Linked DNA regions of Mus musculus. The protein of the gene in region 4 purifies or fractionates together with the protein of the main gene of each other region. This does not show direct contact. Links are inferred from orthologs where the notes say so. Each region holds a gene or a part of one and is shown on either strand. Other genes may lie near its edges. The genes, in order: Zc3h4, Ddx54, Hadha, Csnk2a2, Nkap, Dcaf7 and Ccnl2.

The links.
Region 1: the proteins of Csnk2a2 (region 4) and Zc3h4 purify together in Homo sapiens (affinity purification with mass spectrometry; 3 studies listed by BioGRID and IntAct, with this or other methods). This does not show direct contact. The link is inferred for Mus musculus from reciprocal best matches to the Homo sapiens genes CSNK2A2 and ZC3H4.
Region 2: the proteins of Csnk2a2 (region 4) and Ddx54 purify together in Homo sapiens (affinity purification with mass spectrometry; 3 studies listed by BioGRID and IntAct, with this or other methods). This does not show direct contact. The link is inferred for Mus musculus from reciprocal best matches to the Homo sapiens genes CSNK2A2 and DDX54.
Region 3: the proteins of Csnk2a2 (region 4) and Hadha purify together in Homo sapiens (affinity purification with mass spectrometry; 3 studies listed by BioGRID and IntAct, with this or other methods). This does not show direct contact. The link is inferred for Mus musculus from reciprocal best matches to the Homo sapiens genes CSNK2A2 and HADHA.
Region 5: the proteins of Csnk2a2 (region 4) and Nkap purify together in Homo sapiens (affinity purification with mass spectrometry; 5 studies listed by BioGRID and IntAct, counting the BioPlex papers as one, with this or other methods). This does not show direct contact. The link is inferred for Mus musculus from reciprocal best matches to the Homo sapiens genes CSNK2A2 and NKAP.
Region 6: the proteins of Csnk2a2 (region 4) and Dcaf7 purify together in Homo sapiens (affinity purification with mass spectrometry; 8 studies listed by BioGRID and IntAct, counting the BioPlex papers as one, with this or other methods). This does not show direct contact. The link is inferred for Mus musculus from reciprocal best matches to the Homo sapiens genes CSNK2A2 and DCAF7.
Region 7: the proteins of Csnk2a2 (region 4) and Ccnl2 purify together in Homo sapiens (affinity purification with mass spectrometry; 3 studies listed by BioGRID and IntAct, with this or other methods). This does not show direct contact. The link is inferred for Mus musculus from reciprocal best matches to the Homo sapiens genes CSNK2A2 and CCNL2.

What each region holds. Positions count from the first base shown.
Region 1 is NC_000073.6:16,399,762-16,404,244, reverse strand, and holds the start of Zc3h4 (zinc finger CCCH domain-containing protein 4), read right to left. Parts: upstream 3,050-4,483; 5' UTR 2,953-3,049; coding exon 2,939-2,952; intron 2,911-2,938; exon of another isoform or gene 1,767-2,910; coding exon of another isoform or gene 1,729-1,766; exon of another isoform or gene 1,509-1,728; coding exon of another isoform or gene 1,486-1,508; intron 1-1,485. UniProt on the Homo sapiens protein: RNA-binding protein that suppresses transcription of long non-coding RNAs (lncRNAs). LncRNAs are defined as transcripts more than 200 nucleotides that are not translated into protein.
Region 2 is NC_000071.6:120,626,063-120,629,437, reverse strand, and holds the end of Ddx54 (ATP-dependent RNA helicase DDX54), read right to left. Parts: intron 3,038-3,375; coding exon 2,933-3,037; intron 2,605-2,932; coding exon 2,489-2,604; intron 2,379-2,488; coding exon 2,146-2,378; 3' UTR 1,104-2,145; coding exon of another isoform or gene 1,026-1,103; 3' UTR 846-1,025; downstream 1-845. Other genes in the region: Cfap73 (cilia- and flagella-associated protein 73), read left to right, coding at 1,026-1,103.
Region 3 is NC_000071.6:30,151,929-30,156,343, forward strand, and holds the start of Hadha (trifunctional enzyme subunit alpha, mitochondrial precursor), read right to left. Parts: upstream 3,053-4,415; 5' UTR 3,021-3,052; coding exon 2,954-3,020; intron 1-2,953. UniProt on the Homo sapiens protein: Mitochondrial trifunctional enzyme catalyzes the last three of the four reactions of the mitochondrial beta-oxidation pathway.
Region 4 is NC_000074.6:95,485,727-95,490,304, forward strand, and holds the start of Csnk2a2 (casein kinase II subunit alpha'), read right to left. Parts: upstream 3,095-4,578; 5' UTR 2,722-3,094; coding exon 2,618-2,721; exon of another isoform or gene 2,476-2,617; intron 2,435-2,475; exon of another isoform or gene 1,951-2,434; coding exon 1,839-1,950; intron 1-1,838.
Region 5 is NC_000086.7:37,125,300-37,129,637, reverse strand, and holds the start of Nkap (NF-kappa-B-activating protein), read right to left. Parts: upstream 2,876-4,338; 5' UTR 2,643-2,875; coding exon 2,263-2,642; intron 1-2,262. UniProt on the Homo sapiens protein: Acts as a transcriptional repressor. Plays a role as a transcriptional corepressor of the Notch-mediated signaling required for T-cell development. Also involved in the TNF and IL-1 induced NF-kappa-B activation.
Region 6 is NC_000077.6:106,053,618-106,056,986, reverse strand, and holds part of Dcaf7 (DDB1- and CUL4-associated factor 7), read right to left. Parts: intron 3,257-3,369; coding exon 3,139-3,256; intron 2,305-3,138; coding exon 2,132-2,304; 3' UTR 1-2,131. UniProt on the Homo sapiens protein: Involved in craniofacial development. Acts upstream of the EDN1 pathway and is required for formation of the upper jaw equivalent, the palatoquadrate. The activity required for EDN1 pathway function differs between the first and second arches.
Region 7 is NC_000070.6:155,810,902-155,815,594, reverse strand, and holds the start of Ccnl2 (cyclin-L2), read right to left. Parts: upstream 3,107-4,693; 5' UTR 3,068-3,106; coding exon 2,786-3,067; intron 2,428-2,785; coding exon 2,353-2,427; intron 2,137-2,352; coding exon 2,027-2,136; intron 353-2,026; coding exon 232-352; intron 1-231. UniProt on the Homo sapiens protein: Involved in pre-mRNA splicing. May induce cell death, possibly by acting on the transcription and RNA processing of apoptosis-related factors.

The DNA.
Region 1 (4,483 bases), on a different chromosome or scaffold from region 4:
ACTACTGTGACATTTCAAAAATATGGAATACCTAAACACATTTAACTTAATATTGGGACTCCTTTGCCAAAAAAACAAAAAACAAAACAAAACAAAAAAACAACAACAAATGAACCCTTGCAGGAATATGCCTGAGAGCTTTTTTAAATGTTTGGAGGAAATATTTTCACATTCAGAAAAATGACTGCTAAATTTTCATTCCCAAAAGGAATCCCATTTCCTAACATTTTATTTTTAAAGTTTAAGTGTTCTTTCATAACTTAGAAATTCTAACCATGTGGAATGGAAGGGTTATCAGCTGACCCTGCTTCTGCTCTGAGCTCCTGGTGGAACTTTACACGAGATGAGAACCTTCAGATGTTTTGTCCAGCTGACCCAGCGCACTGGATAGTGTGTTACGTTCGTGCTTTAGACGTTTTGTGCAGGAATTCTGTACATTCTGGAAATGTCTTCCTCAAAGAGCTGATTTTACATCAGACCACCACTGCATGGCAGTTACAACTGTGAATACATCTAAAGGAATAAAGCAAGCGGCCTGACAAACTGCCGCTTGCACGTGCAGATGGACATCATCTCCCCTGAGAACACAAAGAGGGAACCGGCTCCTTTGGAAGGACTAGGCTTGAGTGAGAAAGACTTCCCTAACAAAGTACTTCAGGGACCAAAAGTGGGCCAGGGGCACAATGGAACTTCAACGTGTTTTTGTCTTTTACAGAAGTTATGCTTGTAAAACACATCCGAAGGACAGTGTTAGGTCCCGCAAGCCACCGCAGCTGCTTTGGGTGGTGTTGAACTTGTATGTGTAGGGTGAGGGGACTGAGGGTGGAACATGTTCTCTCCAACATGACTGGGCGTGTGACACGTTTTACATCAACTTTTCGCGGTCAGGCATGTGCTTCGGAACAAAGAGCAGTGGACAGGAGAGATCAGGGCTTGACACAGTTTACACATACATTTGTGCTTAGACAGTACTTTACAAATGACTTGCTCGATTTAAATGTCTATCACCATAAGTAACATTTGAGTAAAAAATATGGAAAATGGGCCTGCTTGCAACGGTCTTTTCTGGGAGGGCGAGGGGATGTGACTTTAACTTGAATACAAGTACAAACCAAATTCTGTAAGCTTATCCCCTCCAGAGGGACTTGAGGGAGCCACTTTCAAATGAAGGCTGGAGACAAAGCAATGGATGAAAATAGAGGGACACCAAGGGTCTGAAAACATATTGGGCCTTTTCAATGGACTTTTGTCATGTTACAGTAACACTTTTTTTTTTTTGTAAGAAAACTGTGTACACCAAAAATTTTTAAATTAAACACTGAAAGGATGTGCAAGTCTAAAAGGGCTCAATAGGTTAGAATCCTGATTTGAACATAATAAATCCACTCTCAAGCATCACTTTGGTCTAAAGGCGAGGAGTAAGCAGGCAGGAAAGGGACTAAAAGAGGGAGATAATTGAATTACTCAATAAAAGAGGCTACTTACCATCCCAACCCATTGTAAGACATACACTTCTGACATAAGAGAACTCCTTAGAGGTCGGATAAAGCTTGCAAGCACCTTTGAGTAAAGCACCTGCCCCCGAGGGGACCAGGAAGCCCAACGTGGGCTTAGCGAACAGACCTCCGCTAATCTGTTTATTTCCTTGACTGCGAAGGGCTGCGATTCCCAGGACGATACATTTAATTAGAACAAAACAGGAAAAAAAAAATTGTAAAAAAAGCTCACCAAACTGCTGCACCTGTGTCTTTGAATGTGGGTGGCATTTCTTTTAAAAGGCAAAGGAGGGTCTGTGAAGGAGAAAGGGAGAACAGGAGGTGGGAGTGGGGAGAAAGGGCTGAGACCCATGGTCTGAAGGGGTCCTCTGCGGTTCCCTGACGGCTGCGAGCGAGGCTTCTGTCTAGCGCATTCTCCACCCTACCCCCACCCCCGCCTGCAAGACTAGCTTTTCTGCTCCCTGAAACCCACCTATTTTCAAACCTACTCACTCCAGCTCCCAGGAATCAGCAAACTATGTACCCCTTATCTTTCGGCTCCAGCAGGGCAAAAATGGCCCCAAACCTCTCATCCTCAAAACACGCAGGGCTGGTCCCATTATCACCCGCCAGAGAAGGGCGTGGGGAACCCATTTCGCACTAGAGGACAAGAGGCGCCACAGTTCACGTCCTGCCAAAGCACACGGGGGAGATCTTTGCTCCCAAGGGGGCGATTGCACCCTGTTTTGCCCCAAAGAGGGGGCGATGCCCGGAGAAAGCGGTGGCCAACTTCCTCTACTATCCAATGCAGGAAAAGCAACCTTCATACAACCCCCCCGCAAAAAAACAAAAACCTTAAAACTAAGGACCCTCCACCACTGACTGTCACCTACCTACAAAAAGAGAGGGACCCCCCAAAAAAAAAAAAAAAACCAATAGGGTTTCCAAAGAAGGTCAGGGGATTTAATCAAAAGAGCTGGAAATGCACCCGTTACCTGCCTGCCTTCTAGGGAGAAGCTAGAAAATACCTCCCGCCAAAAAATTAAAAGTGCACCAGAGCCCCCATCCTAAGGAGTCCTCCTTAGAACGAAAGAGCGAAGGCTGATCCAAACCCCCATTTTTCTGCCTCCGTTAGACTCGGGTACCTATCCAAAATGGACAGGGTATGCGTCCCCCAGGAGAAAGGATACTGTAGGGGATTGGGAAGACCCCCAACTCCGAACCCCTTAAGAGAGGAGCTGCAAGCTGGAGATGCCCCTAAAACAAGAGAATCCGGGGGCCCCTCCCCCAAAAGCCTTCCCCGAAGCCAGGCGACAGGCCGCTGACGGCCAGCTCCCGGAGCAGGGGCGGCCGAGGAGGCTGATGGGCCTCGGCAAGCCCACCCCCTTGGCGGCCCGTGCCCCGGGCGGGCGGACGGACCGACAGACCGGCGGGCGCGGGGGGTCCGGGGGGCGCCTCCTCACCTTCCCCTCAGCATGGCGCCCAAAAAAAGACAGAGCGAGAGCGAGGGAGAGCGGGCGAACGCCGCGAGGGGGGGCAACGCATGAGGCCGGGAGAGAAAGCGAAGCGAGAAAGAGCGAGCGAGCTAGAGACACCCACCGACCCCGCCCTTCCTCCTCCTCCTCCTCCTCCTCCGCGGCCCGGCCCAACATGGCGGCCGTCCCCTTCCTCCTCCTCCTCCCCCCCTCCCACGGGGGACGCTGCCCGGCCCAGGCCGGGGGGCCTGACCTGTCGTCAGGGAGCGGGAGGCGGTGGTGGAGGAGGTGCGGGGTGGCCGCGCGGCCGTCGGGGGAACACGGAGGAGGCGAAGGCGTTGATGGCGGCGGTGGCGATGGCGGCGGTGGCGACTCTGATGGCGGCGGCGGGGGGGTCCCGGGCACGGCCTCCATCGTTCCTTTGAGGGGGAGGGGATGTTAATGCACCAAAAAGGACTGCTTGGGCGTGGCGGGAGGGGCACACTTCAGCGCTCCGGGGCCTCCTGATGGGAACTGGGCATATAGATACATAGATCGATATCGAGTATTTTTTTTTTCGGTTTCGGAGTCACCTCTGAGCCGACTTCCACGTAGGCCGCGAGGCCTAGGCCCCGGCAAGGCCGCCCGCCGCCTGCTTTCTCCGCAGCCTGGCCCTGAGGTCACTCGCTCACGGGCACGGGACCCTCATCGGGACGAGAGGTCCCCTTCCGCCACACACGCACGCACACACACACGCGGCCCCCCAAGGCCTGAGACCCGGGGGACACGGACACTGGTGGGTGGTTGGGTGTAATTAGCGCGGGCCCGCGCGCGACGGAGCAAGCGAAGGGAAAGGGGGGGAGAGGAGAGCGAGCAGGGGGGATGGTTAAAAAAAAATCGGGGAGAAGAGGGATCGGGCTATGGAGATGGGCCGACTGTCTGCCCGCCCTAGATGCCCCAGCTGCCGGGCCCCCGCCGCGGTCAGGAATTCACACAAAATGGCGGCACAGCCGGGACAAGCACGGAGGCTGAAGCCGGAGGAAGGGCGTGGAGGGAGGGGGTAGCGGAGAGGCCGGAGGAGCGTCACGTGGAGAAGGGCAGAGCCAGCCCGCCCGAAAGTCGGCGAAAAGAGCCGAAGCGGAAGGGCGAGGCGGAGGAGAGGGCACGGAAAGAGCCGAACACAGCTGAGATTAACGAGACTCTGAAAAAAGCCGGAAAGAGCCGAGGGAAGATCTAGGTCACTGCAGCAACGCGGAGCGGATCAGAGACCCACCTAAAGGACCAAGGGTGGTCGTGGGGGCGGGGCTAGGGAAGGCCGGGAGAGCCGGAAATAGCCGAAGCGCTTCGGGATGGGAGAAGCCCCCCCCTGGGGGGGGGCGAGGCGAGAGTCCGGAAAGAGCCGAAGTCAGGGAAGGGATCCCGGGAGGAGGCGGAAGTAGCCGAAATACATTGAGCGGAGCGAATAGGAATTAGCGAATAAGCTGAACGGGTGGGGCTAGAAAGGCGATTAATTAACTCAAGGGTAAATGACTTTCAGGAACTCGCCCCCAAAGC
Region 2 (3,375 bases), on a different chromosome or scaffold from region 4:
AGTTGCGCTGATCCTTGGGGTAAGATATGCCAAATCCAGGGGGGTCTCAGGGGTCATGTGAACCATGCAGTCTTTGGCAGGATCTCATGTAACCCAGGCGTACCCCAGACTTGCTATGTAGATGTGGGATTACAGGGGGGCTGTGCACTGTGACTAGCTGAGTTAGTCCCTCTTCTCTATCCCTCCTGTTGCTCCTGTGAGGGAGAATCAGGAGGGTGCTGGGTCTCTCCTGCCCCCCTCTCAAGGCCAAGAATCATTGTCAGGCTGGCCAGAACAGAGAACTGTCACCATCCTCCCTGTCGCTGCCATGGCAAGGGATGGCTATTCTGGTTTTTTCCCTTCTTTGTGTTATGGTCTCAGTGTTTACCCAGGTGATGGACATGAAGAGGCTCCCACAGGCTGCTGTACATGTGCTGTATTCTGGCTCCTGGTGGTGGGGCTATAGGTGTCCGTTCATTTCCTATACTTGAGCAATTAGCACAAAACGAAAAGATGCTATGTCGATGAGGTTACAAGCCAACAAGCCAAGCCTGATCCAAGGGAGACACGACCTGACATGGGTGGGACACCAGGCTGGCAGGGAGCCAGCTGGAAAGATGCCAAGTGTCTGGTTTAGATTCCTTCAGTGGCTGGGCAAGGCAGTGTACCCGCCTTTAACCCCAGCATTCAGGAGGCAGAACCAGGCGGAACTCTTAGGTTTGAGGCCAGCCTGGTTTACAGAGCGACTTCCAGGACAGCCAGGACTATATAGGGACCCTATACAGTCTAAAAGAAAAAAAAAAAATCTGTGTTATATACTATCATTTTCAACACTTAGGAAACTGAGGCAGGAGGAATACCTTGAGTTAGAGGCCAAGTTTGAGTTGTACTTTTATCAATAAACAGAACAAAGGATACTTTTAGGAGGCTGGGCTAGACACTATCAGTGCCTCTCCAGTCAGGGTTCCAGCCCCACCCCTGCCCTGGGCCTGCCTCTGTGGGGGTGGGGAGAGGATGTACTCTGGCCATGTCATCTCTGCCCCCAGGTGAAGCGGTTTATCATGAACATCTCAGCCACACTGGCCAAACTTGCCCTGGCTCAGCCTACAGCTACTGCTTCCTAATCCGGCCTGGCGAACGGTGAAGGGGACCTGAGGGACCAAGTCCCACATTTCTTGGTGTGCAGGCTCAACGTAACCGCTCTCTGACTATCCTTTCTCCTGGGCAAGACAGAGCGGTGACGCCTCACGCCATTGTGAGCCTTCCACGGGACATTCAGTATGAACTCAGTTAAGTAGACAATGGGGTTGACAGCTGGGCTGGTCACTCCATCCACCACAACAGGCTTGGGGACAGGCCTCTCCCAGCTGGCTGGGGGGGGGGGCATTGGACAAGCTCAGATGGAGCCCAGTGCACTCCAGGATGTGCACTTGCTATGTACAGTGGATCTGAGCGGCAGGGGATTATTGGTACCATCTGCTCTTCGGGCCCAACGGGGTAGTCCCCAATGTGTGCCTGACCTGCACTGGGGTCTGGCTACTGGAGGATGCTTCACACACACACACCCAGGACCTCAAGCAAGAGGTGGAAAAAGCCACCAGCAGAATGAAGACACGAGGGTTGGCGCAGGCTGCTTTCTCTCTTCCATGTGAAGAAGGGCAATGCCACCACAGCCTTTCTCTGCCCCGCAGCAGTCCTGAGCTGCCTTGGGTGACTCATTTTCCTCATCTCAGTGACCAGGAGGGACACGCAGGCATGGCCACCTGCTCTCAGCCTCAACAACAGCTGAGACACCTTCCAAAAACATCCTGAGGAAGCCACACTCCTGGTCTACTAGAGGCAGTAAAGTTTATTACATTAAAACTCAATGCTGGGTCAGAGGCATCCACACGGCCCTGATCTCTGAATCCTGAAGGTGTGGAACCAGAAGCCGCTGTGACTTGCAGGGTCAGGACTTGGGTCTGCCTGCTTTGCATAGCTAGACTCCTATGCATCCTTTCAGAGGTCACCCAATGTCCCAGTCAAAAGCAGCTGTTGCTCTGTGGCCATATGGCACTACTCCTCACAGAGCAGCGCCTGTGGAAGGATCTTCCAACAGCACATGGACATAGTCCCTGACGTCCACACCCGGGGCTACCAGGAAGCCCCAGGGCTGCGTCTGGCTCCTCACATCCTTTTCCTCATCTTGCCCTTCCTGGAGGGAGCACCCCGGCCAAAGGCGCCCTGGCGCAGCTCCTGGGCTCGGCGTCGGTTGCGTGCTGAAAGCTGCTTCAGGCCCCCTCGCTGCAGGAAGCGCTGCTTCTGAGCTTGCCGGCGCTGCTTGAGGATTTGCTCCTTGGTCTTGAGTTCCGAGCGCATGCGGCCTGCGGGTACACTGGAAGCTCGGGGCTGGGATGTGCCTGTCAACACAGGGATTTGGGGGGAGCTCAGCCTTGGGCCCGTGCTCATCCCTGTGCCTCACCATGCCTGGCTTTCTTCCTGTTCACACCATACCACCTGCCCTGCCCACCTTGACTACGACCTCGCTTTCCACCTCTGCGGGGCCCAGGGCCTCGCTGGTTGGATGGCCCTTCTTCCTCGGAGTCCCGGTCATCAATTTTCTGCTTCTGCTTCCACTTCTGGTAGCTGAAAGCCTCGTTAAGGAAGTAGCAAGTAGCACCCAAGTTGGAGAAAGGCCCCTTATTACGGGGATGCTGAGGAAACCACTGGGTCCCATCGCAGGCGCAGCGCCCCCTCCTATAGGAGCAGCAGCAAGACACCCGCCCCCGCCCCCAGGCGCAGCCCCTCCTATAGGGACAGCAGCATGACACCCGGCCCCGCCCCTAGACCTGGCCCCTCCTATAGGAGCAGCAGCTGAACGCCCGGCCCCGCCCCCAGACATGGCCACGCCTATAGGAGCAGCAGCAGGTAGCCGCCTGGCCCTGCCCCTCTGCATCCCAGCCTCTCAGGATACAGATCCCGCTTGTAAGAGCTGCTGATAAACCGGCCGCTCTCTGTCTTGATCTTTTTCTTGTCTTCTTGGCCTGACTGCCCCACAAACCGCTTCTTCTTCCGGTCCCTGAAAGTGAGATGGGAGGTTCTACTTTGAGGATCCTGTCGCCTCACTTATATAGTCAGTAGAGGATTAAAGGAAAACAGCCAGTCACACCAGGTCTGCACTGGACACTCAGTTCCTTCACCTTCCCTGGACAGCCCAAGTCTCAAAAGGAGCACGGGAGTTGGAGACTCGGAGCTCGATCCCCACAACACATTCGAGCCCTGTGTGTGTCGGGGGAACATCATCAGAGTCCTTGTGGGCATAGCAGGTAAGAGGCTACCGAGAAAGGCCAGCTTCCAGGGACGGAGTCGCCATCTTGCTCTGAGCAGTCAAAGGGGGACACAGAAGGCCACGCCTGG
Region 3 (4,415 bases), on a different chromosome or scaffold from region 4:
AAAAAGAGCTGGTGCTCATTAGCCTATTGTTAAGCCATTTTAATTCCAGCCGACTAACTTCTCTTTGTGGTAAACACACTCCCACACACTTACACAAAACATACTCTAAACCAACAGAGACAAAAAGCAAAGAGAAAGAGCAGTAAATGAACAAACATTTAAAAAAAATCTTAACGACTATCAATTTAATCAAGCCAAAGTACAAGGTAACTGCTTCTGGAATCCAGCCTTACCCTAACAACAAAGCTTACTATACAGACGCGGTGTGAACTTTAGCCTACATTTTCAGTGCCAGCAAATGCAAAACCTTTGCCCTACTTTCTAATCATCTTCATGTGTAACTCAAGAAAATATCTACAAGGTCATATACAACTATAGTCAGTGGGAAGGGTTGGATTGTGCTGCACAACTTTGAAAACTGGAAACGTTACTTTAGTTTATAGAAATTTATAGCTTTTTCAAAATTCAACCCTGGGACAAGAAGTGAGAGTCAGATTTAAAAATAACTACTAATTGCCGTTCACTTCTTGTAAAATTGTTTTACCACTTACATACTTAGGAATTAGGAAAAGTAGGAATTAAATGGATATTAAGATCAACTTATGACTTTTTTGATAGTCATGTTAGAATAACAGTATTGTACAAGATCTCTTTCACAGTAAGTGCCATAGTTCATTAAGCATTTGGCAATGCCTCCACACACTCTCAGGGTCAAGGACAGACCTGCTGAGTCTAGACTCTAAATAGTAAATCAGGTGTACAGCTAATTTTAAATAGACTTTCCTGCATATTTTTTCAAAGTGCATAAGCTGGTATTAAAATAATCTGTAGCTATAATAGACTACATTTTCTTTTCTTTTTTTTTTTTTCTTTAAAGATTTATTTATTATACGTAAGTACACTGTAGCTGTCTTCAGACACTCCAGAAGAGGGCATCAGATCTCATTACGAGTGGTTGTGAGCCACCATGTGGTTGCTGGGATTTGAACTCAGGACCTTGGGAAGAGCAGTCAGCGCTCTTAACCTCTCTCCAGCTCTAGACTACATTTTCTTAATGAAAAAAAAAATACAACTTATATATTTAGATATGTTTCTATGTAGAAGTATAGGAAAATTTAGCTGTTAGCTTTTTATTACCTATGTAAAATGGATAGATTACAAGTTCTCAGCTATATATAGTCATTGCTTCTAAGGGATAAAAAACTAATAACATTTATTGAGAATGTATGCCTATGTGTTATACCTAATATAACTTCTTTAGATTTAACATGATTGACTCCATTTTACCAATGATAAAGATACTGAAATTAATTCCCAAGGTCACTAGAAGGTAAACTGTAGATTCAAGCCAGATGACAGAGTCCGTATTTAATGCTTTTAATTGCTCCATCATACTACTTCTCCTGTCAAAGAAAAAAAATCACTCTCATTCATTTCACAGATGGGAAAAGAAAGCCCATTTAGATGAAAGGGCAAAGTCAACAGCTAGCTAGTGACAAGAGAACATGTGACCCAATCACCACTCCAGTGCTAACCTGGCTGCCAATTCATGAAAGTACCTTACATCAAATACAGGACCATAGGTGCCTTTTTTCCCCTAAAACTGTTATAAATGTGGAAAAGGAAACACAACCAAGTGCAAACAGGAGACATAGAGATCGATGGATCTTTCTTTCTTTCTTTTTTGGTTTTTCCGAGACAGGGTTTCTCTGTATAGCCCTGGCTGTCCTGGAACTCACTCTGTAGACCAGGCTGGCCCTGAACTTAGAAATCCACCTGCCTCTGCCTCCCAAGTGCTGGGATTAAAGGCGTGTGCCACCATGCCCGGCTCTTTTCTTTTTTTTAAAAGACAGGGTCTCACTGTGTAGCCCTGACTGGCCTGGAACTATGTAGACCAGACAGGAACACAAAGACCCACCTAATATTAAAGGTGAATTAGCACCCAGTCCACTTCACTTTTTTTTTTTTTTTAATTTTTTTTTTTTTTTTTTTTGGTGGGTAGCAATTTTGGCTATTTACACATAATCGATCTATGGAGGTTTTTAAAAAAGTAGAAAAAGATTCAATCAATTAAATGCCAGGGGAGGGTAAGAGAAGTAAATTCTACACGCATCCCTTTTTTTTTGTGAGGAAAATTAAAGTGAATTCACGTTACAAACTAAAGTCTGGGAAGTAACTAGTATCAAGTATGATACACAATGAAGTTACATTTGCCCTTACAGATTTGGGATGTCTGGGAAAAGGCTGTTTTCTAACAACACCCCTTTAACCCTTTCACTGCCAGCTTGAAAAGGAATGCAGTTCCTGGAGCCTGACTGGGAATCGACAGAAATGAGATTAGAAATAGTTTCTAAGTGATCAAAAATTTTTTTCCTCATCAAAATTTCTTTGCCTAAGTCGGAGAACCTCCAGTTTCAACCTTCTATACATTCAAACTAAGATTACTGAAGTGGGAGAGCTGAGTTCTCTGGGGGGGAAAAATGGTTTTGACGGAAAAGATCAAGGAGTGGCATTGATCTGTAAGGCTAGTAGTCAATGTCACCGAGAAGGCTGATAGATATCTCTTATGGCGACTAACATGTAGTAGAGCCTCAAAAATGTGACAGGTCTTACTTAGTCCTCCGAACTTAGCGGTGTCAGGGCCAAGACAAACATTAAGGGAGACAAGAGGGGCGTGAGCTCAGGGCTACAGCAGAGACCTGCGCAAACTGCCAGACTAAGTGGAAAAGACTCAGGAAAGTTAGGGGAGAGCCTGACACTGCCGGAGCAGGGCGAGAGAGGGTGTGACAGTTCCTTTACAAGGACACAGGAAATAGGGTCTCGGAACAGTAGCCCCATTTCCACGGGTCCCGGGAAAGGGGTGGGAGGCAGACAGTGAGAGGCAAACGCTGCTCCCCGCCGCCCCAGTTCCTGAAGGCACTCCGAGACTCTCCCGAGCCCTCTCCAGGCTCACCTCTGGAGCGTAGGATCCTGAAGGCAGAGAAGCGACTGAGACTGCCAATCGCCCGGGACGCCACCATCTTGAGCAGAAGAGGACGAAAGCTCTTCTAGTGGGGGGCAATGGAGCCGAGGGCTTTTCTTTTCTGAGCCTGTCCGGCAGGGTGTCCTAAGTGCCGCCTTACTAAAACGCAGACTCTGAGTTGCCACCCGTCCTGTCGCCCTACCTCTTGCTCTCAACTAAGCGAGCCGAAAGGATGATTTCTCTGAAGGTGAGACTAAGGACCTCCGAGGAGAGGGCGGAGTGTCTGACTTTCTGCTCAGGCGTTCAGCGGGCAGCCCGTAAATGCCGCGGTGATGGCGGGCGGGGCGAGAGGGGGTCCTTGCGGAGCGGGAGCCGCCCCTCGGCGTGGGCGGACGTTTGTCAGTCTGGACTTGACCTTGTTGGCAGCGGCAGTTTTCGCGGACTCTAAGGTGCGGCAGCGCGCTTCTCGGTTTTCTTCTGATTTCCCCACAGGCAGGTGCCACTTTGCTCCCGACTCTTCTCGTCGATGCCCGCGGCCGCTTCCCTTTGCTGTGAGGGTCGAAGTCCCAAGAGCGGGACAGGCTGGTCCAGGCCTCCAGTGCGAACCGCCTCAGGGCGGGCGGTGGTCGCGTTCTCGCGTAGCTCGCGGCAGCGGTGTCTTCTGTCTGCATTTGTCACTTCAGGTTTACGAATGGATTGCGTGTGTGTGAAACGCTGGGCTGTGTCAGAGCGGTGTCGTTTCCCCTGTTGTTGACCTGTCTAGGCAGTCTGGCGGCTGTAGAGATTGAGAACGCGTCGTTAAGTGCGGGTCTCGGGGGTGAAAGCAGCCAAGACAGTCCTCCAGTCTGCTTGGTGATCCAGGGTTCACGGACATTTTCTAACCCAGCAAACATCTGGGCAAACCTGCCACCCCTCACTCTTTTTTCTGTGAAGTAGCCGTAGCTAGTGACTGAGACTGCGCCACAGGTGGTAGAATTAGTCTAGAACCTAAGTCTACTTTTAATTGAGAGTTCAGCTCTTCTGGGCGCCAGGGTGTGAGTTGTTTGTTTTGGTGCTGGAAAGATGAGCCCTGAAATAAACTGATTGTTTTCAAAAGAAAGTAAAGTCAGCTTCCGGTGTGTGCACCATTTTGTTTAATACGCACAAACCCCACGTTTCATTTGCACTTTCGGTGACTTGACAGGCTCAGAAAGATTATAATACCTTCTCTGTGGCAAGCCAGGATTCAAACAGAAGTGGCACTTGCTAGTTAATTGATTATTCTGCCACACAGGAAAGAAATGGCTAAAATGATTCTAGAAAGAAAGGAGCGTCCTGTTTTAAAGCTCTAGTCAAACTAAGTCTTCCACCACCAAGAACACTTTAAGCTGGTACTAAATGACCACTTCGGAGTAAATTGCAAAAAAGGAACCCTTTTCCCATACCACGCCTTCCACTACACCTATTTCATATC
Region 4 (4,578 bases):
ACTGCCCTCTGAGAAAAACCAAACACGTCAGGAACTAGAGCATCGAGCGGGTCTCCCAAATCTCATGCTTGAACTTGAACCTGTGCTCAGTGCTAAGATCCTACAGCCCAGGCTGAAATGAACACTCAGAGGAATGAAGAAGTAGGAAGGAAGAGCTCTGGTGAAGGTCCATTTCAACAGAACAATGATGTCAGGTACATTTCTTTGTGCCTAGGTCTGCTATCTGTAAAAATAATTTAAAGCCGCTTCCGTACTGGATGTGGTAAATATATGCATTGGATCTTTAGAGCAGAGGAAAAACTATCAAGCAACTCATCTCTGAAGTTCCTCACAAGAACCATGGGAAACTACTAACCCTATGTTTCCTTAAACACACTGGGGCTTACACACACCTGAGCACTGTTCCCTTCCAAACACTCCACAGCAAACAGCACTTAGTCCCAAAATGCTACTGCACAGACATTTAGACATTTCCCTGAAATTGCTTTAGACTTGGCAAATTCAATCCTCCAAATGTGCAGCAACAGAACATGGATATTCCCAACTATGCTTGTTTTTGCTTATCCTTAAAATGAAAATGTCTGAAGTAACTTCTATTCAAAACAGGTTTATGTAAGTAATGAAATTGCATGGTTTCCTCCAGCAAGTTCCCTGAAGGAAACATTTCTCTGCTTAAAACACACCCCTCCCATAACTACAGACCTCCAATGTACAACTCATACTTAGCGGGGCCAAGCTCCCTATCTGCCATCATTCCTTCCTTCTCACCCCAGTGTCTTGGGCAGCAGCAATAGCATCACCCATCTCTGCAGCAACTCTGCTCCTTCATCACTAGGCCAGGATGGTAAGGAGCATTAGCAGCAGCCATTTTTTTTGAAAGGTGATTCACACAACGCTAAAATCTACACAATTAAATAAGAACTGCCCTAAGGCACAAGCTTTTCAATCCTGCATTTTTGTTCACTGGGCACTGTGAAAATCTGGTGAAACACTACCACTCTCCAGTGCTCTTTCACTAGTGACACACATACATGTTAAGTGATCTGACAACATGAAAAACTGCCCAGATCCTAAGGTGACAAGCATATGCATTTAAATGACTTGACAACCATGAAGAACCGCTCAGGTCCTACGAACCACCCTCTCGAACAACCTACAAAGCACTATTGAATCTTCAATCACCTGTACAGAAACTTGGCTGACTCTTCATGCTCATTAAGATCATGTCTTCATTTGAGTGATAACAAAAGCCCTATCATTATCAAAGCGAGAGGGCTAGTCTTGCCACAGAGACAAGTTTTGTTCCAGTTATTATTTCAGGGGCTAGAATGTACTCTTCTGTTGCCCCAGATCTCTTAGCGGCTGGCTTGCTATATCCAGCCCACCTGAAACTTTACTGCTACATGAAATGAAAATATCAACTGAGGGAATTGTCCTGAATTTTTGGCTTTAAACTTATCTCTGAGCAGACTCCAGTTTTGTTTTGTTTTGGGTTTTCCGGACTTTTTCTGGAGTAACTGGGAGCAGAGAGTAACGAGTACAGATTTAGAATCCCTACAGTTGACAGATTCTCCATGCAAACTCCTTCCTCTCTTGCGAATACCTCTTTATTCCATATCAGATACAGTCCCCCCTCACAAGCTTTGTTTGAGAAGTTCAGAATTCACACTTTAAATGTTCCTGACCTACCAAACTCAGAATTAAGACCAGCCCGCACATTTTCTCAAAAGTTCACAAGGAAAAGCATGGTAGGAGTCCTGTAGGAGATGCTTATTCTGGGATAGCTGGTTCTTTTGCCCTGTGGGGGGAAAGGTTACATGCCACCGTTGGCCACTCACCTTGAGAATTTTTACAACCACCCTCTCATTGTTGGTGATGTTAATGGCCTCAAATACTTCACTATACTTGCCCCGACCAAGTTTTCGAACCAGTTGGTAATCATCTTGATTACTGTGAAAGGCAAGAGATATACATAAATGCCAGGATTTGGGATTAAGCAAGCCTCTGTCCACCACACATCCATCCGCCATCTCCAACTAATCAAGCATTCGGAAGTATTCCTACCATCACACAGCAACTCATTCTCTTAAATGAGAGCCACACAGAAGCTTGGCTCCCTTCACTCTGCAGAGCTCCTAACCTAACTGACTCTTAACAAGAAGAGGAATGGGCAGCTACAAGGCCTCAGGAGCCATTAAGGGGACTAAGGGAAGCATCCCCCCTGGTGGTACTGGGGTGCCCTGCCCGTGGCTCCACGGCACCTGCCTCCCATTTCACACCTTCCAGGGGGCACTGCCCGCTCTAGACAATCTGCCCCTCTTCAAAATGACCCTCCCACCCAGCCTCATTTCAGAAAGTAAAGAGGTAGAGATTTCAACAGCTCAAGAGGACAGCCATGGACTTCCCAACCCATAGGAAGCCCAAAGTCTGAGGAGGAAGGGCCGCCCCCACCCCCGACCCCACGCTTCTCCCCACCGGCGGCTGAGCCGGGGACCGAGGCAGGGCGGACAGGAGAGGCCGGGGACACGTGCGGCCGGGGCCGGGCCTCCCTGCCAGCCCCGAGGCCGAGCGGCCGGCGGGTGCGGTTCGCGCGTGGGGCGGCCGGCGGCGGCTTTACCCCCAGCTCGGGACGTGGGCTTCGTAGTCCCAGTACTCGCGGCTCCTCAGGCTGTTCACCTCGGCGTAGACCCGGGCCCGACTGCCCGCGGCCGGGCCGGGCATGGCGGGCGGGACCGGGGGGCGCCGCGGGGCGCCGAGGGCGGCGGCGGCGCGGCGCGGGGCGCGGGGCGGCAGGCACGGGAAGCGGCGGGCCGCGGGCTGCCCAAGCAAGAGGAGGAGCGCGGCGGCGGCGGCGGGCGTCCGCGCCAGGCCGGGCCCGCGGGGGCGGGCGGACGGACGGACGCTCGGGCCGGGGGGCGCGGAAGGCGCCGGCCGAGCCGGCCCGGGGCCTTCGGCTGCCGGAGGGACGGCGGGGTTCGTGCTCCGCGGAGGCCTCCGCTCGGCTCGCGGCCCCCCAGAGGCGGTGGTGGCGGCAGCGGCAGCCACCGGTCGGGAGAGGGGCAGCGGCAGCGGCGGCGGCGGCGAAGAGGGAGGAGGAGGAGGCGGAGGAAACCCGGAAAAGGGGCCGCACTCGCCAGGAGCGGCCGCCGCCCAGCCCCGGCCCGCCCCGGCCCACAGCGCCCCCTACAGTGCGGGGGGACTATGGCCGGCGCCCGCCCCCTCAGCGAGCTCGCCACCCTCCAAGCAATGTGGCCGGCTGCCTGCCCAACTGCAGGCCACCCCCCAGAAGTCTCTACCTTTGACTGCCGCCGCGCTTAGCATAGTTCCACTGTCCAGTCACCTCGTGTCCACCCACCACGACCTCCCATATTGGCCCTGAGCTGACTTTCTTTGAAACCCAAGAACCCTCCCCTCAAACTGTCCCCCTTCCTCACTCCTCTTCCCACTCTGGACCCCACCCTGCCATCCACAGATCCCTTCCTTCAAGAGGAAAACCAAACTAGTCCTAAAGCTACCCTCGCCTCCCAATTCCCCATCCAGATTCCTCCCTGAGAGCCCACTGAGCCATCCTTTGGGCCACTTGCTTAAACCAGAGCCCACCAGATAGTTTCCCCATAAAGTTAACTGGGTTTTTCCCCCTTTGTATTGAACCTGTAATTTGTGGATCATACTTTGAGAATGTAAATATCCATTTTGTTTGTTTGTTTGTTTGGGAGGAGGGAGAGCTGGGGAGTGAGGACTTCTTGAACAGTCTTCTCTCTCATTGATGTCCTGGGGTCCCCGGCTATCTTGTTTTCCTGTTCATATTCTTTAACAACAAGGATCTCTTCTTCCAGCCCAGGTTGCTCTGACTCTAAACTCCCCCTCTCCCTCCCCCCCACACACTGTTTTCTAGATGAGGCCACGTTTCCTCTTTCTTCACATACCGAACTATCGAGGTTCAAGTCCCGGTTCCATAGTTTGCAAGGAATGCAGATTTGAACCAATGACTCAACGTCTCCGTGCTACAGATTTTGTAGCATCAACCCAGCACCGACTTCACAGAGCTGTACAGAGACTAAGGACTGCTCCATATTAAAACACTACATGTTCCCGCTGTTGTTAAACTCTACACCTTTCCTTCCCTGAGAATAGCGCATGCCCGTCTTTCAGTTTCTTCTTCTCTCTGAGCTTGGCCACGGGGTACCGCTGCCACCCCACAAATGACTGGCTTTCTTTTTCAAATCTCACCTTAGAGGCCACTTTCTCTGAAGTTGATACTTCTCTCAGCGACTCCTCCATGCCCTTCGTAAAACTACAGCTTGGCATGAGTCCTCTCCTGGTTTGCCATCTGTCCCCTCCCTGTGAAAACAATGTGAAGGCATGACTAGGGCTGGGTGATCACCACCAGGTCACTCAGTGTCTGCCGGGCAGGAGGCCTTCAGTCAACACAGTGCTCTTGGCCCACGGTTACCATGCTGGTTACAAAGGGGACCCTGAAGGTCATATTATGCATGGACCAGCTGACTTTCTGTGTGACGCACAGAGAAAGGACACACCACTCATCACATTGCTGTCAAAAAAGCTCAACCTGCATCC
Region 5 (4,338 bases), on a different chromosome or scaffold from region 4:
GCAGATCTCTCTGTGTTTGCAGCCAGCTTCATCAACATGAGTTCCAGGACAGCCAAAGCTATACATAGTGACCTTGTCTCAATCCCCTCCACCCAAAAATAAATAAAATAAAAATAATTCTTTGAAGAAAATAATTAGCCTGAATTCCTTAAAGTTTGATGGCTTATGACTCACTTTTAAAAGTTACTACTGGGCTGGAGAGATGGCTCAGTGGTTAAGAGCACTGACTGCTCTTCCGAAGGTCCTGAGTTCAAAACCCAGCAACCACATGGTGGCTCACAACCATCTGCAATGTGATCTGACGCTCTTGTCTGGTGTGTCTGAAGACAACTACAGTGTACTCATATACATAAAATAAATAAATCTTTAAAAAAAAAGTTACTACGAAAGACCTATAATTGGCTTTTCTTTTTTTTAACATTTTTGATCATGAAAAAGGGTATTGATAACTACACAGAGAGAGACTTGGAGAATTTTGTATTTGGCCAAAATGGATAATTTAGAAAAGGGGTACAACTGTTTGTGGCTTCTGGGGGAAGAATGCCTGCCCAGCCATAAAGAGCACAGAAGTCTCATGTCTATTGCTCCTGTAATATGTTAAAATTTCTTATTTTAAAACACAAAGTCTAAGGCCTAGTACCATGCCTAAGACATAATTTTAATAGACAGAATAAACTTCATATCACCTAAAAGTACAAATGCAAATCTCATCCAATCACTTAACATTCCAGTAAATCCTTTACTCCTCTGAAACTGGATCTCATAGGACAGGGTCTAGCTAGTCTTCAACTCCTAGTGGTTCTGACCCTCTCTCAAGTGTTGGGATTAGAGACATGATCCTGGCTCAGCATTTGCTTTTCAACTGACACACTCCATGGGTACCATCCCAGAGGTCTCTAACAGATCAGGACTGTTTCACTTATGGATGTTATTACACCCTTAAAAGCCTTGTTACTGATTTCCCTGTCCCTTGTGGGCCGCTGCTCCAACTCGGGGCCTCGGGTTTGCTAGGCAAGCATTCTTCCCCTGAGCTCAGCTCCAGCTTCTGCGGATTTTTAATGATGAAGAAGCGAAGCTAGGAAAGGTCTCACTTGCCCAAGACCATCCTGCTTCACCACAAACAAAACCTTCACACTCAGGCAGGGCAATGCGGAAACTTGCCCTTTTTTTTTCTTATACTGTATTTCTTCCCCTGCTGGGGGAGGAAAAAAAAACATGAAGCATCTCTCAACTGTTGGAAAGTTAACTTGCCCCTCGATGCCTGTAATACTTGAAATTTTACCATTTTGAAACACATGGTACAGGGCCTAAGACCTAATTTTTAACAAGCATAATAAACTTCATACATATCAGATACTATGACTAATGCAGCAACATGAGCCTCTCTCAGGATATCACTCTACCTCAGGCCTACCTTGAATTAACTCTGTAGTACAGGCTGGCCTCGAATTACTTGTGACAGTCCTACCTCGGCTTCCTGAACGCTAGGATTACAGGAGTGAGACATCATGCATGCCCAGCTTTTGAATTTAAATATGTCTTGAGGCATGGCCTCATGTAGACCAAGGCGGCCGTAAATTTGCTACGTCGATGAGAATGAGTGTTCTGACTTGCCTCAAGAGTCTCACAGTTGTTGCTACTAAAGATTTGTGAGTCTTTTTAAACTAAGAATTCCATTAGAGGAAATCCAATCTCATTCCCACATTGGTTTGCATGGTCAACACGGCTGAGACCACTTGCCAAGACTTTTCCCAACATAGCCTCATCTAATTATTCTTTTCCCTCAAAACCAATACATATACTTAATTACAATACTTCCCAGTTCACTGCAAAACGTTTCCACTGAAATATCCTCTTGTCTCAATTTTTTCTGTTTGTTCATGCAACAAGAAACAGCTGCCATGCCTACCAAGAGGCAGGCACTACTAATTCTGTGATCAATAAAAGTCACAAACCTCTATTTCCGTTTAGTGAGGAATAAAGACAGGTGCACGGATAATGACACCAAGGCATACAATAGCCTCTTACTTTCCCAGTAGGGGTAAGTAGGTAGTGGGAAACCAGGGCCTCTTATGAAGGAGTCTAGGGATGAATGAAAATGTAAGTTAGAAAGGATAAATAAAAAAGGTCACGGGGTGAACTGAAGAAAGAGATGAAAAAGGTGCGAGGCGGATGGGAAGCGAAATAAAACAGAAACAATGAACAAGCTGGACTCAAAGGCAGGCAGAATGACCCAAGAGAGGGTGCGGCGATTTCACTCACTTCTGCCGGAGACTCTCCTCCCTTTCCTTGTCCAGCAGGCTAGGCCATGGCTTGTCGCCCCCGTAGGGACGCGAGTAGCCGCCGTAATAGGCGGACGAGGATGCAGAAGCAAACGGGGCGCTCCGCTGTGCCGAGGGCCGTTCGCGAGAGCGCGATCGAGAGCGGGAGCGGTAAGATTGGTTTCGGGAGCTTTGGCTGAAGCCACTCAGCGAATGACTGAGGCCATTCCGGTCGCCGAACCGAGAACAAGAGCGCGAGCGAGACCGGCGACACCGCGGGGAGCGGGAAGATTTGATGGATTTGGGGCTCCGCGATGGACTGCGACGCTTCGCCCCGGAGGCCTCCCGTTCAGGGCTACGCGAGCCCGATACAGGAGCCATGGTGGGGGAAGCTGAAGCTACCAAGGGGCGGGACAAGGAGGCGCTCTCGCGACCCCCAAAGGTCCCGGACACCTAGGGTCCTAGAGCTTGCAGCCGACCAAATCCGAAAAAAAGCAAGCAAACAAACAAACAAACAAAAAAACCAACTTGGAAACAGTTCCGTGTACAGCGGTAAACCCCTTCCCCCGGACCCAGAGTCCTTGCCGCCAACAGGAAGGGATTTGTGTACCTCTATATAGAAGCCGGCCAGGAAACTGAGGCTACGCTCTCATCCAGTTCCTAGTGAGGTTTCTGAAACCTAAACCGCACTGGATGCCTGAAAGAACATTGCGATGAATGAGACAAGTATTTCATTGAGTAGCCATATAAGCAACACCGCCAATTCTCCCTTTATTTAGTGTGGGACGATCTTTGCCTGTATAGTGTGCGCGTATGAATCTGTGTATGTATTATAACCCCCACTCCCACTCTTTTTTTTTTAATCCCAAGCAAACAAAAGATCATGATTAGGGTTAAGCTTTAATCTAAGATCATTGTTGTCCAGTTCACTTAGAAAGCATACATTCTGATAACTTCAGTCTGTTATACTCCGATTAATTTAGCGACCCAGAGGAAAATCTTAGTACGTAGGTTCAAGCCACCCATCTCTACAAATGTCCCACAAAACGAAGTTATCAAGCCCCTTCAACTAGTCCATCATACACTAGCCCAGCAAAATATAAGGTAGACGATTAATAGTTGTATGTATTAAGTATTTTTAGGCAAAAGAGCATTCAAATATTAATTTTGTTTTTAATTTTTTTGAAATTGAAATGTAATTGTGTCATTTTCCCCTTTCTACCTCCAACCATTCCTGCGTGCCTCCTCTTGCTCTTTTAAACTCATTGCCTCTTTTTCTTTATTTGTCATTACATGTACCTGTAACTATAGCTGTTGTAATGTTTTCACCAGAGAAGACTACTTAGATATGGGTTTTAGCCAATAGAAAGTCACACACGCCGGGGCGGTGGTGGCCCATGCCTTTAATCCCAGCACTTGGGAGGCAGAGGCAGGAGGATTTCTGAGTTCAAGGCCAGCCTGGTCCACAGAGTGAGTTCCAGGACAACCAGGGCTACACAGAGAAACCCTGTCTCGAAAAAAAAAGTTGCGCGCGCACACACACACACACACACACACACACACACACACACACACACGTCCTGTGTTGATATACTTCAGTTAACAAGAACATGTCCAAAAGTGAAACTACAGAAGCCAACAGGGAAGGTCAGTACCTTTAGGAATATTCCCAGAACTATGTACTTTGATCTTTTGTCTTTTGTTTTGGCAGGTGATACTGTCTACATGCTGAATGTTGCAGCCTGAATGGTACTTCCATCATGGAGTCAGTTGTGCTAAGGTCTGGGGACCTACTAAGGTCTAGAGCCCTGTTACAATAACCTGCTCAGAGCATATATTAACCGTATGTTTATGATTTCAGGACCGACCATTTGGTATTGGATAATCAGCTGAGGGAAGACTATTTCTCCTGGCTCTCAGCATTACCTAGTTGCCTGTAGTTCTTTGTCTAGGGTTAGAGCCTCGTGAGATTTTCCCATAATCTATCTTCTGGTGTCATCCTTGTCAGGTCTTGCTTAAGTAGCCATGTTGCTGAGACTTCATAGTTTCTCTGACATTTCTAGGGGATGCAGTCTGA
Region 6 (3,369 bases), on a different chromosome or scaffold from region 4:
AGTTGGAGAGCAGAAAAGGAAGACTGAAGAAAGTTGACAAGTGTCCACAGAGCAAGGAAAAAGTCATCACGTGGTTGGTTTCCAAAGCACATAGAGACCTCACACAAATGTATTCTAAAACTGCTGCTAACCTTTTAAAACTTTGTTTTCAAGTTCTAGTTGACAATCCTATCATTCACCCCAAGCTAAAGTCCACCCAGCACAGGTGCTCCCCAGCACAGGTGCTCCCCAGCACAGGTGCTCCCTACAGGCCCTGCGACGCCCTGACTCAGCCTACTACTGTAGACTCAGCCCAGGAAGAAACTGAGGGCTCCTACAGCAGCAACCATCAGCAAGTCTGCTACCTTTGAGGAGTCTGTACCTGGCTGGCAAACGCCACTAAGAGCAGAGGGAACCACAAACTGATCCAGGACAAGCCACAGGTTAGTGCAGGAACCCCAGAGACCCAAAATCAGAATGACAGATTAGGAAGGCCAAGGAGAAATACCCTGACTGAAAAGGCCTTTCCTTTGGGACAAGGTCCTAATATAGTGAATCTAAATCTAAGACTTTTGGCATACAACTACATCAGTTGTGGAAGCAAGCAAAGACTCTGCCAGACAGTCCATGTTCCCAGAAGAATGAGTCGACATTGACTTCTCCAGCAATGGCAGCATGAGTGGCCAACCAGCCATCAGCCATCAGGCCTGCTGCTCTCCTTGTCCCAGAGCGTCTAAGAAACCTGCAAGCAGCTCAGCAGATTATAAACAGCCACCCTCTCCTAGACCATGTTCCAAACTGCCGGGGACTCATCTAAAGTCAGAACCACATACAAGTCCCCTCTGTGGAACCCATACACCTAACGGAAACAGACACGCGAGGCCTGTAAGTCAGCATGGCCAACTGCAGCCTACAAAGTCCAATACTGCTCATAACCTTAACTGAAGAGAGGGCAGGTGCCACAGGCGTGGAGAGTCTTAGCTGGCTGGCCCTGAGTCTACCTTGGCTGATTTGCTCATCATTTATGAGAACTGCCTGTCTGTCACAGTCTAAAGATCTTGTTCAGGGTCAAGCACAGACGGTAGCTCCCAGGAAGTCTCTTATTCAGAGTACTCAATCCAAAGATGGGCCAGTGTCCCACCAGGTAGAGGAGACTCAGCAAACAGAAACACAGAAGCTTAGCTGAGAGATCTCTCTTGCCTATCATTCAAGTTCGAAACTGGAAAAATAGATTCTGAAACCAGGTACTGGAAACACAATATAAGTTCAGCTTTCCTGAACATGATTCTCCTTCCGCATGACCCCTAGTCAACTGCTTATCTCAGCCCCACAGGGTACTCAACTAGTGAAGCCAGAGAAAGGGACTTGAGGGTGAACAGAAGCCTCCTGCATCTCCTGGGCCTCCGAGGGCCTTCAGGAGACCCAGGCTGAGAACGGTTGGTGAGTCAGTAGACTTCAGAGCACCAGCGCAGTTGTCAACTCCCGGTCAGGGGTCAGGGCTGTGCCCCACAGGCAGTGACTCAGGAAAGCAAACTGCTCGTGGGGTCTAGGGTCCAGTACCCACTGCAGGCACTGAGGGAAGAGAGGAAGGTACAAAGAGGGAAATCTGTGAAATCAAGAAACCAGAAAGGTTAAATTCTTTTCATAAAAAAACTAGCCTGATAGATAAAAAACATACAAAGTTGAGGTTTGTTAAAAGACACTGGTGCCAGGAGGAAAGACAATCTCAAGTTGGCCTTTGTTCCCACTTAAGTGCTAGCACGACACAGATGGGGACACGAGATGGATGACTGCCTCAGCAGCAGACAGACAGACATGGGCAAATGGACACAGACAGAGCCAGTGCTTGTACTGTTTATGAACACAACAGCTGACAAACAAATATACAGAAACGTTTAATTGAAGAAGCAAAGAAGAGGAAAGGAGTGAAAATTTAAAACCCAGCCCTGGGCTGCAGTGGCGCCACACAGCACAGTCCAACACAGACAGCGGGGTAACTGGCCTGGACTTCTACAGCAGCTTCTGAACACAGTGGGTGTAAAGCAGCAGTAGACATACTGGCCACTGGGAACATGTTCTTCTTACATGGGAGGGAAGGGGGCAGAGGCTGAAGCACACAAGCCCCTGCCGGATACGTGAGGTGCCACCAACACTACACGCGGAGTATCTCCAGGCAGTTGTTGTAGCAGATAGCGATCCAGTCAGGCTGAGTGGAGGCCCACTGCACATTGTTGATCTCTCCCTCAGCTGTGTAGGCCAAGATAGGGTCCTCGATGGCCCGAGGCATCTGCTGGATGTCCCAGATGAGGGCCTGATGGTCATCCGCTAGGGAAAAAGCAAGCAAGAATGTCATAGCTCAGGCAATGGGGTAACAATCTTGCATCTGGAGAGGCAGTCACAATTTGTGAAACATTTGTTCATCAAAGCTTTGTGAAAGGGCTTTATTTTAGAGAAGAGGAAACCAAGATTTAGGAATGTCACCAGACTTGCTCCTTCTTGCCATGTAGCCAGTGAGGACCAAATCTAGGTCCTGACTCCATTTCCCAGGTGTCATTAAGCTCCATTTACTATACCAGGGTTAGAGAATTAGATCAGGACATTGCAGTCAGGAATCAGGGAAGGACACGGGATACAATGACCCCAAACTATGATGTTACTGACAGCCACTAAAAATACTTGCGTGGATAAAGATGCTTCTCTGATGACTGTTTCCCAGTTTATGTACATTTACATTTCAATGAGTTACACAGATGGTTGACATAAAGTGCTATATAAACATACAACATTAAAAAAATTCCACCCATGCCTGTAACCCCAGCATTAGGGACTGGGAACAGAGTTAAGTGATAGAGTAACTCTTATCACGTTCAAAGTCCTAGGTCCAATCCCCAGCACCATCAGAAAATAAATAAAAAACCTGAACTATTGCCAATGAATGTGTTTTGCTAGGTGTGGTGGCACATGACTGTAACAGCATTCTGGAGGCAGAGGCAGGGGGACTGCTGCCATTTGGAGCTCAGCCTGATAAATACAGCGGGTCACTACCTGGCAGCATTATCCAGCAAGACCCTATCTCAACAGAATAAATAACAAAACTAACACAAAACCTTAAGACCCACCACAGTCACCTGGCCTGATACTTCCTCCCGCCATGGTTACCTGCAGTACAGATGTGGCAGGACGAGTGTGGGGCCCAGGCAATGCCATTGACACATGCTCGGTGGTTGTTTAGCCTAGCAACCGGTGTGCAGGGAACTCGAACATCCAGAATCACCACCTGCAGAAATACAAGAAAAAGGCCCAATAATTGCAGAGTGTAGCAGGAAAGCACTATCATGAACACAGCACTGTAAGCATGGTCTTTTCCTTTATGGATCCGAGAACACTAGA
Region 7 (4,693 bases), on a different chromosome or scaffold from region 4:
CACTGATTTTGAAAGCTGAAATCTAAAAGACACCATTTCAAACACTCTTATATTGCTAAAAATAACAATTATAAAAAGTTGATAAATAAAGGACTAATTTTAAGTTCTAGACATAAACAAGAAAACCAAGAGGGGGAACCGTTCAGTACGTTTCAAGGCCTTCACTCCTGCACACAGTAGAAGTCAGCTCAAGTGTGACTTGGGTGGCTGCAGGTGCCAGGCCAAACCCACCTTGTGAGGGTGCTTCACATGGACACAAAAGCCCAACTCCTTGAGAACCCGTCTCTCTGCCTTTATAATCTGGTTCTTTAGGTTAACATACTCTTGATCAAGCACCAGAGGCACGGGCTTCCTGCAGGGAAGGCAAAGAGTAATATGCTCTGTACCAGGGTTGATCAAAACCTTTTAGATTCCACAATTATTTCCAAGCGATACATACCACAGCACCAGAAAGCTACAAATGACATTTCCTGTAACAAAATTTTAGAAGTCCTCAAACCTACATACACTTATTACCCACCTGCCCCCCACCTTGACTTTACACATAAACAATATTCTAGCGTAACAACACACCTCCTGAATATGGTGGAGAGTCTGAGGATCTCTGCACAGTGCTATGACACTGTGTCAGAATTCAAGGCAAAAAGATCACCCTTTTCATGAGTTGTAAACTGCAGAACCAACACAGCACAATAAAGTCATCCCTTGGTACACACTGGTGCTGGGGTAATGACAATTTTCACCTAATACTAATACCCATGAATGTTTAAGCACCTTACGCAAAGTGGTGGACTATCCCCACAGCCTCTTCACACTTCACATCGTATTTGGATACTTTATACCTATTACACTGGAAATGTTGTTGAAGGGACAGTGACAAGGAAGTCTAATCATGTTCAACACAAAAACTATTCCACCTCATACTCTCCCAGTCTCTCACCCCGAACACTAATATTTTCAAGAGTTAGTTGAACTCTTGAATGAGAAACCTGCAGATAGACTACAAAAAGAGAGACATGGTCAAGTCTCAAAGGGTTTGTTAAGCTGGGCACGATAGTACAGTCCCCTAAGCCCAGCATTCTGGAGCCAGAGACAAGACCATCTGTATGAGTGAGACCAGCTTGGTCTACAGAAGGCTCAAAGACTGTTGAGGCTCATAGCCAAGACTGTTTCAGAATAAAGCAAACACCAAAGGGCTCCTGTGAAGGAGCAGAAAGTCTGGGACAAGGTCTAGGTGCACTGCTATACTATTAGGGATATTTGTTTTCTGGTTCTGTTGGTCCGTGTGGATGTTTTAGCTGGGGGCTGCTGTAGTCAGTTGTCTCCTTCTCCTTCTACAACGTGGGACTTCAGTATCAAATCCAGGCTCTCAGGCTTGCCAACAGGTTCCTTAACTAACTAAACCATTTAATCAACCCAGTGTGTTTGTTCTTTAAATTTTGTACAACATTTGTTTGGTATGTGGGTTGTGCCTATGGAGGTCAGAGGACAACTTGCTGGAGTCAATTCTCCTCCTACCATGTTGATCCCAAAACTAAATACAGGTTGTCAGGCTTGGTGACAAATGTGGTTCACACACGTAAGGAAGATTTAGATGGGATTGCTAAGAGGTTAAGACTGCTACACAGCTAGACCAGATATCAAAAAAGACAGCTGTCTAGGGGTATTTCTGTTACAAATGGTTTCTGGCAAGGAAAGGCCAGGAATATTGATCGACATATTACAATGACACTAGAACAAAGAATGGCCAGTTCAGACACTAACAGCGCTGAGGGTGAGAACCAGGGACCTGGTGCTCAGAGGTTCTCAGCAGAACCATGGAACAAACAGGACAATAGGGTGGTGAGCTGATGTGGTCATACAGGAATTGTTTCAGCAGGGCTAGGACAGCCAGCTATCCTGGTTATTGTACCCCCCTACCAACTGCCCCAAGACAGCATCTAGGGCACATGCGAACAATCTACTGTAAATTCACAGGTTGGTATTAACAATGACAGACATTAGGACAGCTCTGCAAAGGACTCACTTTTTCTCTCTCAGATGCCGAAGGCGATGGAATACATTGATGACATCCCTGATTCGTCTCGGAGCCTCTTCTATTTTGGAAGCCAGGTGAACACAAGCCATGGACACATGCTGAAATGTACATTGTGACACGGGTGTTTTTCCCCCCAACTTGAGAACCTTCCAAGGCATTAAAACTATTAGAAACAACCAGAAGATACAGAGACAGACAGGCCTCTAGGGAAAGAGCTGTGTAGACTTTGCAGGACAGAATTCAGCTAAGCACTGGGCAGAACAGGCCAGGTTTCATCCCAATTCATTTCTCCGAGAAAACAGAAAGAAGCCTACCTCCATGGAATGTTTCACGAAGGACTTAGTGTAAAAGAACCGCTGGAACAGCACCTGCCCTGTAGCCATGGCCACCTAGGGACAGAGAGGGTTCCATCACGTTTGAATGCAGGACTCACGCTTGTCCCGGCTACAATGTCTTGTGTGATTTCCCCCCAGGACAAATAGCCACGACAGTTTCCATTTCCCCCAAAGGGTTTGGGTCTCGCGAGGCTTTCTTGGGGGTAAAAGGGCTTCGGCTCCGGCGGAGGGGGAAGGGGAAGGGGAAGGGATGGCGGGTGCGGGTTATTTCAAGGCTGCGGAGCGCACAGGCTCGGACCTCGTCGCCTGGGTCCGGTGAGCTCCGGGCCGGGGGCCGGGACGACAACAAAGGCCCGGCCCTCGGCCCTCGGCCGGCGAACGGCCCCTGCAGAGCTCGCGGCCCGGCCCTTACCTGCGGCAGGCGGAGCAGGATGCCGGCTGCCTGGATGAGCTCGCAGCCCACGACGCGGAGTCCCGTCTCCGTATCGACGTCGAGGCCGCTCGACATGGACGGCGTGAAGCGGAGCTTGTCGTCGGGCAGCAGGCAGTTTTCCAAGGTGATGAGCACGCCCGAGTAGAGCCTGTCGCCGATCAGCACCCCCTGAGACCCCGGGGCCGCTCCCGCCGAGCCGGAAGAGCAGGCCGCCGACGCCGGAGCCATCAACCCCGCAGCCCCGGCCGCCGCCGCCGCCATTTTGTGCCGCCGACTCTTCTCGGGCCCTTCCCGTCAGGGCGGCTGCTCGAGACGATCGTGGCCGCCCCGCCCCGCCCCCTCCCATTGGCTGAACGTCACCGCTGTCTCGACGCCGTTGGCCGTACGACCAGTCCGTCAGTGTCGCGTCAGGCACCGACGCCGGAAGCACCCACGGGTGGGGCTGCTCGTTACCCACTTGGCTCCGCGGCCTGGCCCGAACCGGAACTCCTGCCTGGCAAAAGGGGTTCTAGAAGGGCGCCTTTCTTTGGGGGTTGGGACAGAACAACTTTTCTCCCACAGTCCCACGTGCACGACGTTACACCGCGACTTAGTTCGGAGTCTTTAGTTCTCAGCCCTCCCTTCCGTCCTCGGGCTCTGGAACAGCTGTGGGGTGGATCTGCCAGCATTAAAAGGGCAGATGTGCCTTTAATCCCAGCACTTAGGCAGGCGGATCTGTGTGGGTTCAAGGTCAGCCTTCTCTCTACAGCTAGAGTTCCAGGACAGCCATGGCTGAGAAACTTTGTCGCAAAAATAAATAAAATACTAAACAAAAAAGTGCAGATGAAGGGTCTGGAGAGATGGCTCAGCAGTTCAGAGAACTGACTGCTCTTGCAGAGGTCCTGAGTTCCAGCTACGACATCATGGCTTGCAGCCATCTATCTGTGATTGAATCTGATATCCTCTTCTCTCATTCAGGCACAAATGCAAACAGAGCACTCATATACACAATCTTTTCTTAAAGGGGACCCCCAATAATCTACTGCAGCAAATACAGGCCAAAAAAATGGCTTGGGGACCTTGAAGATCAAGGTGAAACGGCTTGTAGTAGACCCTACAGACAATATTAATATTCCTGACTCCAGTCCTGGCCTGCTTAGTTTCACCCAAAACAGTGCTGCTGCCACTACACAATAGATGTTTCCTGTCACTGCTCAGTTATCTCAAGCTTTTGATAAGATTTCAGCCAGGTTCGGTGAAACGGAAAATTGGGAGGACATGGGAGTTTAAGGAGATCCCTGTATAACTCTGATTCAGGTATGGTGAACAGCCAACAAGGTTGCCAAAAGTCAGTATTCCATAGTCCAGCTGTAGTGGGGTGATTGGATTCCACTCCTAAGCAGACCCCACAAAGATCTCATCAGTCCTCTCACTGTAATGGCCACGCTGCTACTGTCTGTCCGTCTGTCCCACCCCTAGGCTGCAGCTCTAAAGTAGGCACAATTGTCATTGCCTGGTCTGCCCATTCCCTAAGCTGAAACTGAACCAAGAATTAGAAAAGACTGTTGGCTCTAGTCACTCAACCCAGACTCTGGTTCTAGAGATGACTATTACATCCATCAGGAAGAGAAACCTATATTGGAGAGGGATGCTTGGTTACAACTCAACAGTGATTTGCAGTATCTTGTCTTTTTTGTGTGAAGTAGAAAACAAAGCTCAGTGATGGGGCCACATGGATGTGTATCTTCTCCAATATCAATAGCAAGTGGCTAATGAGTAATATATGTGCAACATTCTGGCAAAGTGTTAAGCATATTGTATGCAAGACACCAACCTAGTACAGTGACGTTTAGGCTGATGAAAAAGTCAAAAAAGCCTTGTAGGAATCCTCAGGAAAGAGAAGCCAAA